Linked DNA regions of Notamacropus eugenii. The protein of the gene in region 1 interacts with the protein of each later gene in a biochemical or structural test. Links are inferred from orthologs where the notes say so. Each region holds a gene or a part of one and is shown on either strand. Other genes may lie near its edges.

Region 1 (7,288 bases):
CCTCATCAGTAGCTAACTGTCCTATGTACACTTTGTTTCCCAAGTAGGAAATAAGATCCCAAGGGCAGGGAATGTGTCTTTTTCCCCTTCATTTTCTCCACAGAAGTCCAACACACAACTGGGCACATAGTAGGTGTTCAGTACAAACTTGATTTGTTGCAAAAGAAAGAGCAGGCCAGGATCTTAAGAACCTTGCCATACACAGTAATAAAAAGTCACAGGAAAATGACTTAAAGGAAATGGATGGATCATTTTCTTTATAAAATTCATACTCTGGCTCTGGGAATGCCATAGGGTGGGGGAAGAAGGGAGCAATTTACCAGGAAACACTTCTCTCCCTTTTCCTCTTTCCACAGCTGACATTCCACCTACCCCTACTCCAGCTTCCATCCATGTTACCTGAAAGGCCTCCCTGAGGGCCTGGGTCTGCTCTCCAGTTCGATTGTCTTGCCAGGGCCGACCTCGGAGGCGGGTGGGGCTGGCACGGAGGCTCTCCCCAAAGACATCCAAGTAGAAGAAAACGTAGTCTCCGTTGGTTAGGTTTTCTCTCTGGGCCTGAAGCAGGATCTCATGCAGCATCTCCAGGGGGCCACAAATGTACACAACTGAGGGCAGGTATTTAAAAATGGAGTACCCTTAGAAAGTGCATCCAGCAACTCCAAAGTAGCCCTTTCCCCTGGGCTTGCAAGCTTTCTATTCTCTGTATTCCCTTCAGCAGAAAAGTGAGAGCCTAAATCCATTTAAGTCTCCAGAACATACATCTCTTTCCCCAGGAGTGTGTTGAAAGTACCCTGGGGCCATAAGGAACATCTGGCATAAGTCATAGCTTGACCTCCAGAGGGAGGAAGGGATGTATGTTCTCCCTATCCCCAGCCCCTCTCTCTCACATTCCCACTTCCTCCTAGTCTTCACTTCCTCAGTTCCCCCATTCTGCTTCTGATGGGAGGAGGGTTGGGAAGGAGAAGAGGGGTGGAAGGAAAAGTGCAATTTAGGGGTCACGAGCTTAGAAACTTTAAGTTTAAATCCCGACTGGCTTTGCCAACCAAACACACTCAACTTTAACCCAACTTATTGCACCCTAAGCAAAGGACATTAGTTTGAAAAGGATTTTAAATACAGCAAAAGGCATCTGGAAATAGAGGAGGAGTATCCTTTGGAGTTTAGACCATCATATCCACAACTACAGGATAATTTCATTTCCAACATTCTATACCTCCGACAATACCACAAAACCTCATGGAGCTCAATACCCCCACTCCTCCCTACAACTAAGCCTCTCACACACTATTCCCACATGCTCCTGTTACTTACATCTTCACAATATCCCTTAGTCTTCCAACCACAATGGCCAGATGCTTCCCTTCATAATCACTTCTCCCCCTCACAAACCCCATTTCTGTCCATATCCATCTTAAAGCTGTCCACATGACTCCTCAGTATCAATCTTTACTAACAAGTTCCTGAAATCTCCACTTTGCCTCCACGTACCCCTGAGATGCCTATCTCTAGCTACATACAACCCCAAGTGAAAGCCCAAGCTACACTCACTGCGCCCATTGGCCCGGATGAAGTGTGTAGCCTGCTCAGGACCACCTGGTTCCCGGGTATACACCTGGTGCTGCACACTGAGATTGTTGCCTTGCAGGGCCTCAAAGACCCCTTCAATTGTGAAATAATGGGGCCGGTCATCAGTGCGGGCATCCAGATACAGCAAAGCAGCACGGGCACTCCAGTTGAAGTGCCCATGCAATGTCACCACAAACTCGCCCAGTTTAGGGGCAGAGGGCCCAGTGCGAACCAGTGTTCTGTAGTGCTCACTCTTGGCCGCAAAGCCTGAGGCCACAGCACCTGCAGTCAACAGGGGCAGCCGCCAGTGTGAGGCAAAACGTGCCACAGAAGCAGCAGGGTACACACAGCCAGGACCCAGAAGAAGGTCAGGGTCATTGTATAGCTTCAAATCCACAGCATTCAAAGGCGCCAGGTACTCGGAGCAAGCGCCATCCATCTCAGAGCTGACAAAGTGCAGGTCCACTGGCAATGCTCTCCCCAGGGCTTCCATGGCCAGTGTCACAGCAGGGCCCACCCGTGGCCAAGCCCAGGCATAGCTTAAGTTGTGTTCAGGTAGCACCACTGCCAGGGTTAGATTCCGGGGCTCAGGGGGGCGTGCCCCACCCACCAAAGCTGCCAGCATCAACAGGATTGGGGGCAGCGCCATGAGGAGAAGGCAACTGCCCCACAGCCTCAGAACTCTGAAGTCCCTTTCGGCCTATAAGGGAAAGACACAAACCCCAGCCTGAGACCTCAAGGAACAAGGCTAGGGTAGGGGCTAGGAGATGGCTGGGGAGACTGAAGCTGGGACAGCTTAGGCACAAAAATAGAAGAGAAATAGGAAGCTAGAGAAAAGGACCAGGAGGGAAAGTAAGGATGGAGTTGGGGATGAGATGCCCTGAAGCTATGGTGGAATAGAGGGCCTGGGGTGAGGGGCATGGGGGGGCCTACGAAAGGAGGAGATCAGAGGGGCCTGAGGCTGAAGAAAAAGAGGTCTAATGCTGAGGGAAGCCCAGGAGCAGAAAGGGGTCTGGGGTGGAGATGGGGCCAGAGCTAGGGCTGCGGGGGCCTGGGCCTGGGGGCCTGGGGCTGGGGCTGGGGCACGGGGGGCTCGCCCTCCCGGTGGAAGGGGAGAAGGGGAGGGGCAGGGAGGAGGCACAGGGGTGTCCATGTGGGGGCAGGAGGGCCGGGAGGAAGGAAGCGGAGGGGGAATCTCCGGGAAAGGCTTCTCCCGAGGGGGCTGACCTAGCGGACCAGGGCGCTGGTCCGGTCTCAGGCTGCGGCCCCGCCCGTGGCCCGGCTCGGCTCCGTGGCGCTCGGCTTCTCCCGTGGCCCGGCCTTCGCTGGCCGCCGCTTCCTGCCGTCCGGGCCCCCGGGGCCCCGTGTACTCGGCCAGCTCCGCCCGGCCCGGCCCGGGCCCGTCTCCGCTTGCTGCGCCGGTGGCGGCCGAGTGCGACTCCCGGGGCAGGCCGCCCGCCCCCTCCCGGCGCCTCCCTCCCGCGGCCCCTGCCCCCGCCCCCGCCCCGGCAGCCCCTCCTCCTCCCCCTCGGGCCCCACCCTCCCGAAGCGGCGCCCGCCGCCTCCCACTGGGGCTGGCCTCCCGCAGCTCGGCGCCCCCGGGAGACCCGGCACCCCTGGGGGACCCGCCGCCCTCGGGGAACCCGGCGCCCCTGGGGGACCCGCCGCCCTCGGGGAACCCGGCGCCCCTGGGGGACCCGGCACCCTTGGGGGACCCGGCACCCTCGGGGGACCCACACATGGGAGACCTGCCGCCCTCGGGGGACCCGCACACGGGGGACCTGCCGCCCTCGGGGGACCCGGCACCCTCGGGGCACCCGCACACGGGGGACCCGCACACGGGGTGTCCGGCCCCCTCACCCGGAATGGCCTGGCTGCCCCCAAATCTCTCCGAAGCATTTCTCCCGAGCCCACTTTCCCGGGGCCCCCTCCGAATAGTCTGTCTGCTCAGAGTCCCCTTTAAGTCCATTTCTCTAAAAGGCGACCCAGAACCCCAAAGGCCCACTAAACCCTTCATCGTTTTACTTCTGCAGGACACCCTATTTTGAGGGGCTGGCTGGTAACATGCGTTCCTAGAAGGCTTTCTGGTGATATTCTGCTGCTCTTCCGAGGCCTTCCCTTTCACTCCTTTCTGTATCTCCAGGTCCCTACAGGCCCCTCAGCTTCCCAACAAACCTCAGTGGGATTCTTATCTCCCTACTATGCTACAAAGGCTTGTGAGCTCCATCTTTCCTCTCTTGTCTTTGCAGTTTCCAAACCCATGCCATACTACTTCATCTAGGGAAAGGAGCAGTACAGCGGCAGGGTGGGCCGGTAGGAAGAGCCATATTCCTCTTCTAGGGCTCACCACCTATCTGGCCACCAGCCAGTGAGCCGCCCTCTGCCTCAGTTTCTTTATTTGCCAAACGACCAATTGCACTGGATGGTCCCTGAACATGATCCTCTCCAGGTACTACTATATTGTATCTGTTCCTTTGTCTTGCTGATTGGTTGGTGCACTGCCCCACGGTGCTCAGCAGCACAGGCACTTAATCTATCTTTGCTGACTAAGCAGACTTTCTTACAACCATGAAAATTTAGTTCAACCCAAGGCCAGAAAGGTATTTCTTTTGGTTGAACCAGAACTAAGTAAAAGATAGAATATAACAAGTCTTCAACAAGTCCTTGACAGCTGAACTGGGCCCCAAAGTCTTCATTTCCAGTTTTGTGCTCCCTCTTTGAACCACCACTCCTTTCTTTACCCCCTGTAAGTCTAATTCCCTTCTGGGGGTCCTGCTCTATCCCTGAAGAACAGCTTATCATATCATGAATTGCATCATGACTGCTAGGAGGGAATATAAATGAGACCTTGAAGAATTCCTTTTTCAGAAGAGAAAAACTAGAGATGAAAAACTCACTTTCTTCCGACTAAAGTGAATACTGGCCAAAATCAGGCCAAACCTCAGGGCCCCTCAGCTAGCCCTAGTTGCACATCTTACGATTTTTTGCCTCTGATATTTTTACCCCTTCCAGCCACAGTTAAACAGATGTCACTGCCCTGGGGAGAGAGCTCCCAGGCAGACAGCACACAGTTTCTCTGAAATTAAGGCGACATCTGGTGGCTTCAATGTGGAAATCCAGGAAAAATTCAATTCAATAATTCTAAGTTATTTATTGACGACCAACCAGGCAATGGACTGGGGAATGTAAGAAAGGTATATGACAAATCTGGTGTACAGTTATCTAAATCCAAAACCATATGAGCTGTATCAGCACTCAATCAGTGAGGTAAAAATAAATCCATCTCATCTTGAATGACAGCGAAAAAGGAGGAGAGAGCCCAGAGGGAAAGAAACAGATTGAGATAAACATAACTATAGTCAGAGATTAAGCAAATAACATTTATTAAGCATTCATAAACAACATTTTGTGCCAGATATTGTACCTGTCCAAAACAACAGTCCCGGCTATCCAGGAGAGTACAATCTAATGCCAAGAGTGACAGGTTCTAGACACTCCAGAGTCACATAACTGCCTACAAACCTACCAGAAGAAACAGGAGTTAGCTAATTTTCTGAATGTAACAAAAACCAATGCATTTTGTGTCAGAGAACTTGAATCAGAATCTCATCTTGGCTATGTATGGAGCCCACTGCACCAGGGGTCTGATTTATATTTGACCGCTGGCCACAGACAGCTCCAGAGGAGAGAGCGAGGCTGGTGACTCTCCACAGCCCTGCCTCACTTAAATCCAATTCACTCATAAGTCATGGTATCACCTCCCTGATGCCAGGGTCCTCTTTGAGAACGAAGGACGAGCAACAACAACCTATATGGACAGGTCACTAACCTCCTCTGGAATCATTTCTTCATCTGTAAAATGAGGGAATTAGACTAGATTATTTCAAAGTCCCTTACAGCTTTAAATCTGGTGAACAAATTCTATTTTATGCTCCTGATATAAATCTTTTCTATACTTCTGATTCCTGTCACTGAAATTTATTCTTATCATCTATCTAGAGGACTGAAATTCCAGCTTCAGGTAATTCAACTTTAGTTATACGGTGAGCTCACTGTAATCTTTGCAAAGCCTGAGTGCTTTCAGGACCCTTACAGGTCCAAGTGGCTTCTGTTATCCCACATATATATTCCTTAACTTTCTAGTCCCCTGTGAAGGTCCAGCCTAGACAGAGGCTGGATTCCTAGGTCTGGATCCAAGTATGTGGAATGTCTGTTACAGAGATACACTGAGGGAAAGACAGGGTCCTAGAGGGTAGTGTGGTTTGGAACCACTCTTAATTCCACAAGAATGACACAACCCAAAGGAATTGAATTCTAGGAAAACCAGCAGGGTTCAAGTTCATACTAATATAAAGTAAACCCCAAACCCAGACCTCCAAAGTCTGATCCCCAGTACTCTCCAGAAGTATCTTAAAACTAACCTAATGTCCCAGACAGAGATGAATTTTGAATTCTCAGGTTTGCTTTAGACAAGAGGAACATAACCTCCTCTGGGGCCTCCAAGATTTCAGGGCAATAAGTACTCCCTCCCCATGCCAGTCACCTGTCTCACGTTGCCAGGTCTATGCCAAATCAGAACATTTGGGATGTTCTTTCTTCACATCAGATGGGACACAACACCAAGAGAACCTGCCACAAAGGACACAGAAGAGCTTTGAGAAATAAGAGAAACCAATAAGGTGTATTTCAAAATAATGCTTTTCAATATGGAGAAAAGATAGGGAATAGAGGTAAGGAAGCAAAAAGGTTTGTGAAAATAAGTTGGAATTCATTTAAAATTTTTTTCATAGATCATCTCATCTTTTAGCCAGAGCCAGGGTGGTAGGCAAAGATTCCCATAATCCCAGACCATGAGGCCACTACTGTGCCCCACGCCCACATACACACACATATTCCCAAAGGGCAGGGTCACCCTGTAGGCGATGAGGTATATTGTAAGACAGACTCCCATGACCAGACCAACTTCATTTAAACCTTAGGGCTGAGGGCCTGCCAACAGAACTGCCATAATTTTATTGAATTCAAAAGACAAATGGCTACTAAGCCCTGGACCAGGAAGGTGGACACGGACTGAAGCATTCAGTGTAAGTAATTTCCTTAGTTTTAAACAGCCTCCTCTCAGCAAAGTGGGAATTGATTTATCAAATCTGTAAAATCTAATCCATATGCTAAGGGATTTTAGCTTGCATTAACATATTTTTAAGCTAATGAATTTCTACAATCGTCCAAACATTTAAAATTATTCAAAAACATTTTAAAAGCAAACTCTGGCTCCCAAATTACTTGCCTGGTAATGTGTTCTAAAAGGTCTATCTGAGGGTTCAGAAAGGCCTGCTTCACAAAAGGGTATTCCAGGGAAGTGGGGCCTCCAGTTTTCAGCTCCTAGTGTTGGAGTTTGAGAAATGTCAGCAGAGGTGATCGGGAACATCTTCAGCATCCCTAGAAACCAGGCAAACCCAAATTTCAGCCACGCCCCCTACACCTAGGCCTAAAAAAACAATTCAACAAATGCGGACTACAATAAAATATTCTTTATGCCATAGCCAGTACCTTTATGGAAGCTGTACAAAATGAAACCATAAACATTCAAGATAGACAAAAGGCTTCTATAAGCCTGTAAATGACAGATACACGAAAGGTGAAAAAGCTATGGGTGATTTAACTAAACATACCCTGAGGCCACTCTTGGAGGCCACCAACTGTTTCTGCCATGAAGAATATC
Region 2 (7,163 bases), on another chromosome or scaffold:
TTCTTTCCTCCTTCCCTCCATCCCTCTCCATCAGTTTCCCATCAGCAAGGAAAGAAGTATGCCAAATGGTTACAAGACTGGATCATGCAGCCTGCATCTTAAGCCTCTCCTGATCTCTGACTTACTCTAAAAACAGCCTCCCCACTCTGTTTAGAATAAGATGGACCAGTGGAAGATCAGCGACCCTGAAAGACTCATAAAATACTAAGAAATTTTTTAGCAAGAGGATTGAAAACAGGACAAAATCCATCAATAACTCAAGTGAAAGGGAAAGATTGTTGGACTATGTGTGATTCAGAAGATTTGGTGCTGGGAGCTGGAGATACAAAGGGGGAGGGGTGGGGTGGAAAGTCCCTGCTCTTCAGAAGCTTATATTCTGTTGGGGAATGGAAAAGGGATACAATTTATGCAGATTAATTAGTACAAAGTAATTTAATTTTTTTAGAATTAAATTTTAATCATTTAAAAATTTTGAATTCCAAATTCTCATCCTCCCTCTCATCCCTTCCCCACCCATTGAGAAGAGCAACGTGATGTCAATTATACATGTGAAATCATGAAAATACATTTCTATATTAGCCATGTTGCAAGAAAAATAAAGTGAAAAAAATATGCTTCAGTCTATACTCAGGTTTCATCAGTTCTCTCTTTGGAGGTGGATAGCATTTTTCATCACAAGTCCTTCAGAATCATCTTGATTATTATATCGTTAGATCAGAGTAGTTAAATCTTTCACAGTTACCATATTGCTATTACTATGTACAATGTCCTCCCAATTCTGTTCACTTTTCTGTGCATTAGTTCATATAAGTCTTCCCAGGCTTTTCTGAAACCATCACTTTTTATAGCACATAGTATTCTATCACAATCATATACCATAACTTGTTTAGCCATTCCCTAATTGATGGGCATCCCCTCAGTTTCCAATGTTTTGACACCACAAAAAGAGCTGCTATAAAAATTTTTGTACTTACTGACTATAGTCCTTTTCCTACAAAGTAATTTTAGAAGAGAAAATGCTAATAATTCAAGGGATAGTCAGAAAAGACTTTATAAAGGGTATAGCACCTGAACTCATTCATATTTCACCTGTGGCTCTAAGAAACTGGAGCATGCTCAGCAGCCACTCCCCATAAACCATTTTGGCAGACAGGCTATATCAGGTTAAGCGGAACCAACAGGACTCATATCTAATGGTGAGTTAAGGGGATGTCTACCCTAAACATGAGAAGACTTCCTCCCAGTGGAATGGGTGAATGAGAACAACTTGTTCCAATGACCATGAAAGCAGCTGAAGCAGGAGCTGTGGAGTGCTTAGAGCTTGGTCAGACACAGAGTGTCATATACTGCATCCCAGGTCATTGGCAATCATCCAGACTTTTGTCTTTCCATTGGACTATGATGACTCTGAAAGAGAGAGTGAGTGGGGAGTCAAAACATCGCTGTGTGATGTCATTGGTGCTCTTTGAGATAAAGGAAGAACAAGAGCACATGGGCTGAGTTTTGATAGAAGCTTAAGATTCTCAGAAGTAGAGGTGAGGGATGAGGAAATCCCAGGCATGGGGGACAGGTTGTGCAAATGCATGGAAATGGGAGATGGCATACTGAGTTCAAGGAACAGCTAGTAGGACAGTATTGTCCTATATGTAAGTAAAATACATGAAGATTAATGATATGAAATAAATCTTTAAATTTATATGGGAGCCAGATTTTGGAGAGCTTTCCATTCCAATATTAAGAGTTAATACTTTATCCTAGGTAAAATAAGAAGCCACTAGAGATCTTTGGAGGGCACTCTTGCTTAACTGGTAGAAGATGGATAATAATCCTACAAAGCCGACTAAGATGGAGTGGTCAGAAGGATCAGGGCAGAATACTGTCATAGAAGCCAAGGGAATATAGAGTTTCTAGGAGAAGGATATTGTTGACAGTGGCAAAAACTGTGAAGATGTCAATTAGAATGAGGATTGTGAAAAGAGCATTGGATTTAACAGTTAGGAAATCAATGGTAAGCTTCTGCTGTTTTTCCTTCATTCTTGAAAAGGACCATGACATTAGGGAGGTAATGCCTTGCCATGCACGTGAATTGGAGTTAAATGAGGGAGGTCTGTGTGAAGTCGCCAGCTTCACTTTTTTCTCCGGAGCCATCTGGGTCCAGTGGCCAGATAGGGATCAGAACAATTAGAGATGACCCAGGATGCAAAGGGGGACCTCGACTTTTTCAAGCCATTTCCAGGTCTCAGTTTGATTGATCCAATGCCCATTCAGTGATTAAATTTTAATAAGAAATGAAGCAAAGAACAGCCTCTTAAAAAAAGAAAAAGATTTGTGAGGGGAAGACCCTCAATAAGGGATATAAAAACAGAAGTTACCAACAAAATGTTTTTAAAAACTAAATCATTGTTGTCCTCCCAAGGAAGTCAAGTGAGGGGGTTGGACCTCTGGAGTCCTTTGTAATTCTAAATCTTTGAGATTACCAAAGAGGAGAAAAGGGTCTGAACAAGGATTTGAGTGGAATGGTAGTACAGATAGGAGAGATATTTCAGAGGTAGAATTGAGGGAACATGGCAATTTTAGGGGGAATTAGCTTTGTTTTTGCATATTTGTGATGATGGGTTTTTTGTCTTTTCGTTCAATTGGTGAGAGATGGAAGTGGATTGAGAAAAACTGCTTTTTAAAAAGGGAGTCTGGCAACTGATAAATCAAGAAGCATTTATTAAACACCTGCTATAAGCCAGGCACGATGCTAAGAACGGGGATACAGAGAAAGGCAAGAGACAGCCTTTGATCTCAAGGAGTTCACAGTCTAAAAGGGAAGACAATTGCAAACAATTATGTAAAAACTAGATATGTACTGGGTAAACTGAAGATAATTTCAGAGGGAAGACACTAAGGTTAAGGAGGACTGGGAAAAGGGATTAGGGAAAGGAAGTCCTCAGCAATAATTCCAAATCCAGCACTCTTTGCACTCCACCATACGTAGAAAGTATGAGAGTAATTTTATCCCTCATTTTTGTTTTTCAAAATTTCATAGTAATAAATTATATTGCTTAAGGGATGGCGCAACAAGCCGAAGACTATCTATAGGAGTGATATAAAATCAGAATGCAAATTCTGGAAAACTCACATCTGTACCTGTGGGGAGGGGGAGGAGAAATGATCTGGCGCTTGACCATCTTCCTGTCTTCTGGGGCTGCCTGGTACTTGGATTTGTTTGCTACTTAACTAGGCTCCGAAATGTGACACAGTTCAAGGAGGGTTATGTGATGGACCGCCGGCACCATGGACAGCGGCAAAAAATGCCCAATTCCAGAGGGCCATAGTGACTAGATGACCGCAGGACCTACCAGAGGGATTTGAGAGAAAAATCAGTATGGGGGAGGGGTGGGGATACTGAATTCCTGACCAGAGCGGCCACCCCACCCCTTTCCTTGAAGCGGGAAGCTGACTTCATCCTGCAAGGTGTGCATGGAGGGAGGAGGTGACTGGAAAAGAAGATGATGTGAAGAACTTGGCCTGTTCTTGGTCAGCCTCTCCTTTGTCACTTTTCCCTCCCTCCCCGAAGGGTGTTTGCTCCCAGATATCTTCCTTCATCCCATCTCCAGTTAGATTCCTCTCAATTAACTCTTGTAGGACCCTTGAAAGAGGAAACTCCTAGGAGGCTTGGGGTCAGTGGGAGGCGAGGGGTGTGCTGAGCAGGAGAATTGCGTACCCACTTCTTAGTCCCATAGCTGTATTCTCTTCTCCTTCCCCATCCAAGAGAGGAGTCTTCACTGTCAGTTGTGCCAGTGAGTGTTGGGATGGGGTGTCCCCAGGGCTTCCTTGCCCTTGGGAAATTTAGGTGGAAGAGAACAGAAAAGGGAGTGTTTCTCTAGCTCGTTTCTATACAAGGCCATCCCTCTTTCACCAGTCCCTCACTCCCACCCCTTACATTCAGCTGAGACCCGAGTTAGAAAGAAAAGGCGGGGGATCAAGGAAGAGGGGGGCAGTACAGAGACTGTGTGAGACCGCGGGGGCGCATTCTCCGGCTTTGAGCTCAGCGAGGTCGGAATGTGGCTGATAAGTCAGAGATAACCCCGGGACCAGGAAGGGCAGGGGCAAGGCAAGGCAGGGCTCGGCTTCCAGCCACTGGGAATAAATAGCGACTGACCCAGCGAGTAGCCAGATAGAGAAAGCCAGAAGGGCAGAGAGAGGAAAGAAGTAGCATTGTCTGCGGCAGCAGCAGCCCGAGGTTTCTCCTTCGCCCTCCAGTCCCCTCCTTCCAAAACATGGACTCCCAGAAAGCGCTGCCCAGCATCTTTCTGCTCCTGCTCCTTCTGCAGCTCCAGGGCAACTTTTCCCATCCCTTAGACCGACCTCGCCAGGCTCGGGAGCTGACCGGGGTCCAGGTGAGCACAGCACATAGTCTACGGGTCAGCTGGCAAAAGGGAAACCCAAATCTGCCTCCTACTCCCACGCCCTTGCTCCGAGAGTTCTTCAGAACCACTGGGAAGTGATAGGTAGGGGTCTGGGATTGGGAGCACCAAGGGGAACCTCTGGATGTGTATCTCTATTCTCCCTCCTTACTAAGGGATTTCCGAAAGAATCATCAGACTGGCAAAGCCTAGAAGATACCCAAAGGTAGCAGAATGGCCCCTGAGAAGTTCGAGTAACCCTAGATTCTTAAGGTCTTGTTGGCGATGCACTGGGCGCCGGCGGGAGCTTGGGGAGGGGACTAGAAGAGCTGATCTGCAAGGGGGCTCACAATTCTTGCTAATCTGTCTCCTTTACTTCCACCATCCTTCCAGGAACTGCTGTACCGACTAAGGGACAAGATCTCAGCTTTGGAGGAGTTGGAGATGGCGGAGCCTGAGCCGAGGGAGCAAGAAGAGACCCCGGGGGAAGGCTGGGAGAACAGAAAGCCCGAACACCCACTGGTGCCAGAAGGCAGCCGTGTCCATAGGGTCTCCACCTTCCAGGCTCTGCGTGGTCTGCAAAGCCCGAAACTAATGCGAGAATCAGGCTGCTTTGGCAGGAGGCTGGACAGAATTGGCTCTCTCAGCAGCCTGGGGTGCAATGGTAAACACTCCTTTTCCCCTGCCCTGTCTCTTTTCTGGCTTAATATCCCCAGGTGCCCCCTCCCCACCCCCATACAGTCATAGAAGACCTTCTTCTCAAGTAGTCACTCTATCACTTAGACTCCATCTCATCTCCAGATTTAGTGACCAGAGAACAGAATTGGGGATAGAGGAATCCAGTAAAGGAACCAAGGTTACAAAATGCCATTCAGAGACACTTAGCTTGTCTCCCGCCCCCAAGGCTGGAACAAAAGAGAAACAGAGTGAGCTCAGGGGGACTGCGCGGTTCCCTGGGGAACAGCAGAGGCTTGCACAAAGATGCCAAAGAAGCTACATGGAGAGGGGAGGAAGAATCCCACAGATATACTCCTGCAGCCACTTGCTCATTTGGCTGGCTTTTAATTTTTTCTTCTTTTCTTATGATTGATCGACTGGCAAGTTTCCCCCACTTGGAGGGCACAAGCTGAATAGGAAGACATACTAAGGACATAGAACCCTTTGAAAGAGGACTCCTCTGCCCCCAAGAGACCCACATTCTAGTCCTAGGTCTTTCCTGTCCAAATTTAGAAAAGCTCCCTGTCGGTAGCATGGGAGTTGCTGTTGACACAGCAATGCTCCCTTATCATGTGGTTATTTTCTTTTATCTTTGCCTTTTTTATGGACTAGCAGAAAGATCCCTAGATATGCAGTCTGGGGACATGAGTTCAATTCCAGATACCTTCCATTTGTGGCTTTTGGGGAAAATCACTTAATTTTTCTGTGCCTCAGTTTCCTCATCTGAAAAATGAGAGGGTTAGACTCAATGGCCTCTGAGGCCCCTTACATCTTTGGATCCATGATTCCACAATTTGGTCAATGAAACATCCCATGATCCCCCTTGAGTCTTCTCCTTGTTTGTATCTGAGGTCTTCCATTGGCAAGGGCATAGTTCAGCTCTACTAACAGCCCTTGGGGTTAAAAAGGCTGCAATATTCCATTATTTCCATGATTCAACCATCCAAGCTCCAAGTGTCCCAGATGCTAAATGATTGAGTGTTATTCTGTAATGGCAGCCCCTGTGGGGAATAAGGGTTCATTCATTTTCTGCTTCCTAGTAATGCCCCCAAGCTTCTCATAGTTGCAAAGGCAGGAGATGAAATCGTTCAGTTGGATTGTTTTTCCCATTCTGCAATTGAGGAAACAGGCTCAGAGAGATTAAAGGACTAGAATAAGTTTCAGGAGTCAGTGTAGTTTAGAGGCTAGGACAGGAAAAGAAGTAAAGAAGGGGAGAGAGAGGCAAATTTCACTTTAATGCCAGGAAAAACTTGCTAATTATCAGAGCTGTCCTTTGGAAATAATGAGTTCTCCTTTACCAGAGGTCTTTAAGGAAAAGCTTGATAACCCTTTGTGGGGAAATGGTTTTTGCTCTTTTTGAATTACCTGGTCAATGAGGTCTCTTCCTACTCTGAGAATTGATGATCCTATGAGGTGATAAAGTCAAACAAAACCCAGAGAGAAAAAAAAAGAAAAATCGAGATTCTACTTCAGCTCTGAGCCTCCCCAGGAATAACCTTATTTTTCTCTTTTCTCCTCCAACAGTGTCAAGAAGGAACTAAGAAGTCCCAGCCACCTACTCCCTAACATCTAATTCTCACTGAGGCTTTTCCACCCCCTCAAAATGACTCCTATTTATTTGCATTTATTTATTTATTTATTTGGTTGTTTTGTATAAGCTGGTTTCTTACTTTTGAGCATGGAAAATTCATGGTTAAATAAAATCAGCCTGATTTTTTAAAATTTTGGAGCCATTATTCTTGGAACATTAAAAAAAATCCACCTACTTCCCTCTATGTGCCTGTATTTTATGAAAGATGCTGACTTGGATGGGACAAGGAACTTCAGTTTAGTTCATTAAGTGTTTATTAAATGCCCATTAGATGTTAGGTCTTGGGGTTACAAAGACAAAAGTGAAAGATCTGTTCCTCCAGGTGCTCACTTTCCACTGGGGGAAAAACCTATATACAGATAAATACAAAGCATCTGAATGACTGTAGTGGCAATGTGAGGATGCAAACATCCAAGTGTTGGAAGATTTTGGGGAGTCCATATTATAGGAGACTTCTAAAT

The links.
Region 2: the proteins of NPR2 (region 1) and NPPB form a complex in vitro, tested with the Homo sapiens proteins (3 studies listed by BioGRID). The link is inferred for Notamacropus eugenii from reciprocal best matches to the Homo sapiens genes NPR2 and NPPB.

The regions. Positions count from the first base shown.
Region 1 is NC_092872.1:79,358,590-79,365,877, reverse strand, and holds the start of NPR2 (atrial natriuretic peptide receptor 2), read right to left. Parts: upstream 3,020-7,288; 5' UTR 2,794-3,019; intron 2,267-2,793; 5' UTR 2,216-2,266; coding exon 1,549-2,215; intron 606-1,548; coding exon 400-605; intron 1-399. UniProt on the Homo sapiens protein: Receptor for the C-type natriuretic peptide NPPC/CNP hormone. Has guanylate cyclase activity upon binding of its ligand. May play a role in the regulation of skeletal growth.
Region 2 is NC_092876.1:51,288,102-51,295,264, reverse strand, and holds NPPB (natriuretic peptides B), read left to right. Parts: upstream 1-4,156; 5' UTR 4,157-4,268; coding exon 4,269-4,388; intron 4,389-4,787; coding exon 4,788-5,058; intron 5,059-6,635; coding exon 6,636-6,652; 3' UTR 6,653-6,833; downstream 6,834-7,163.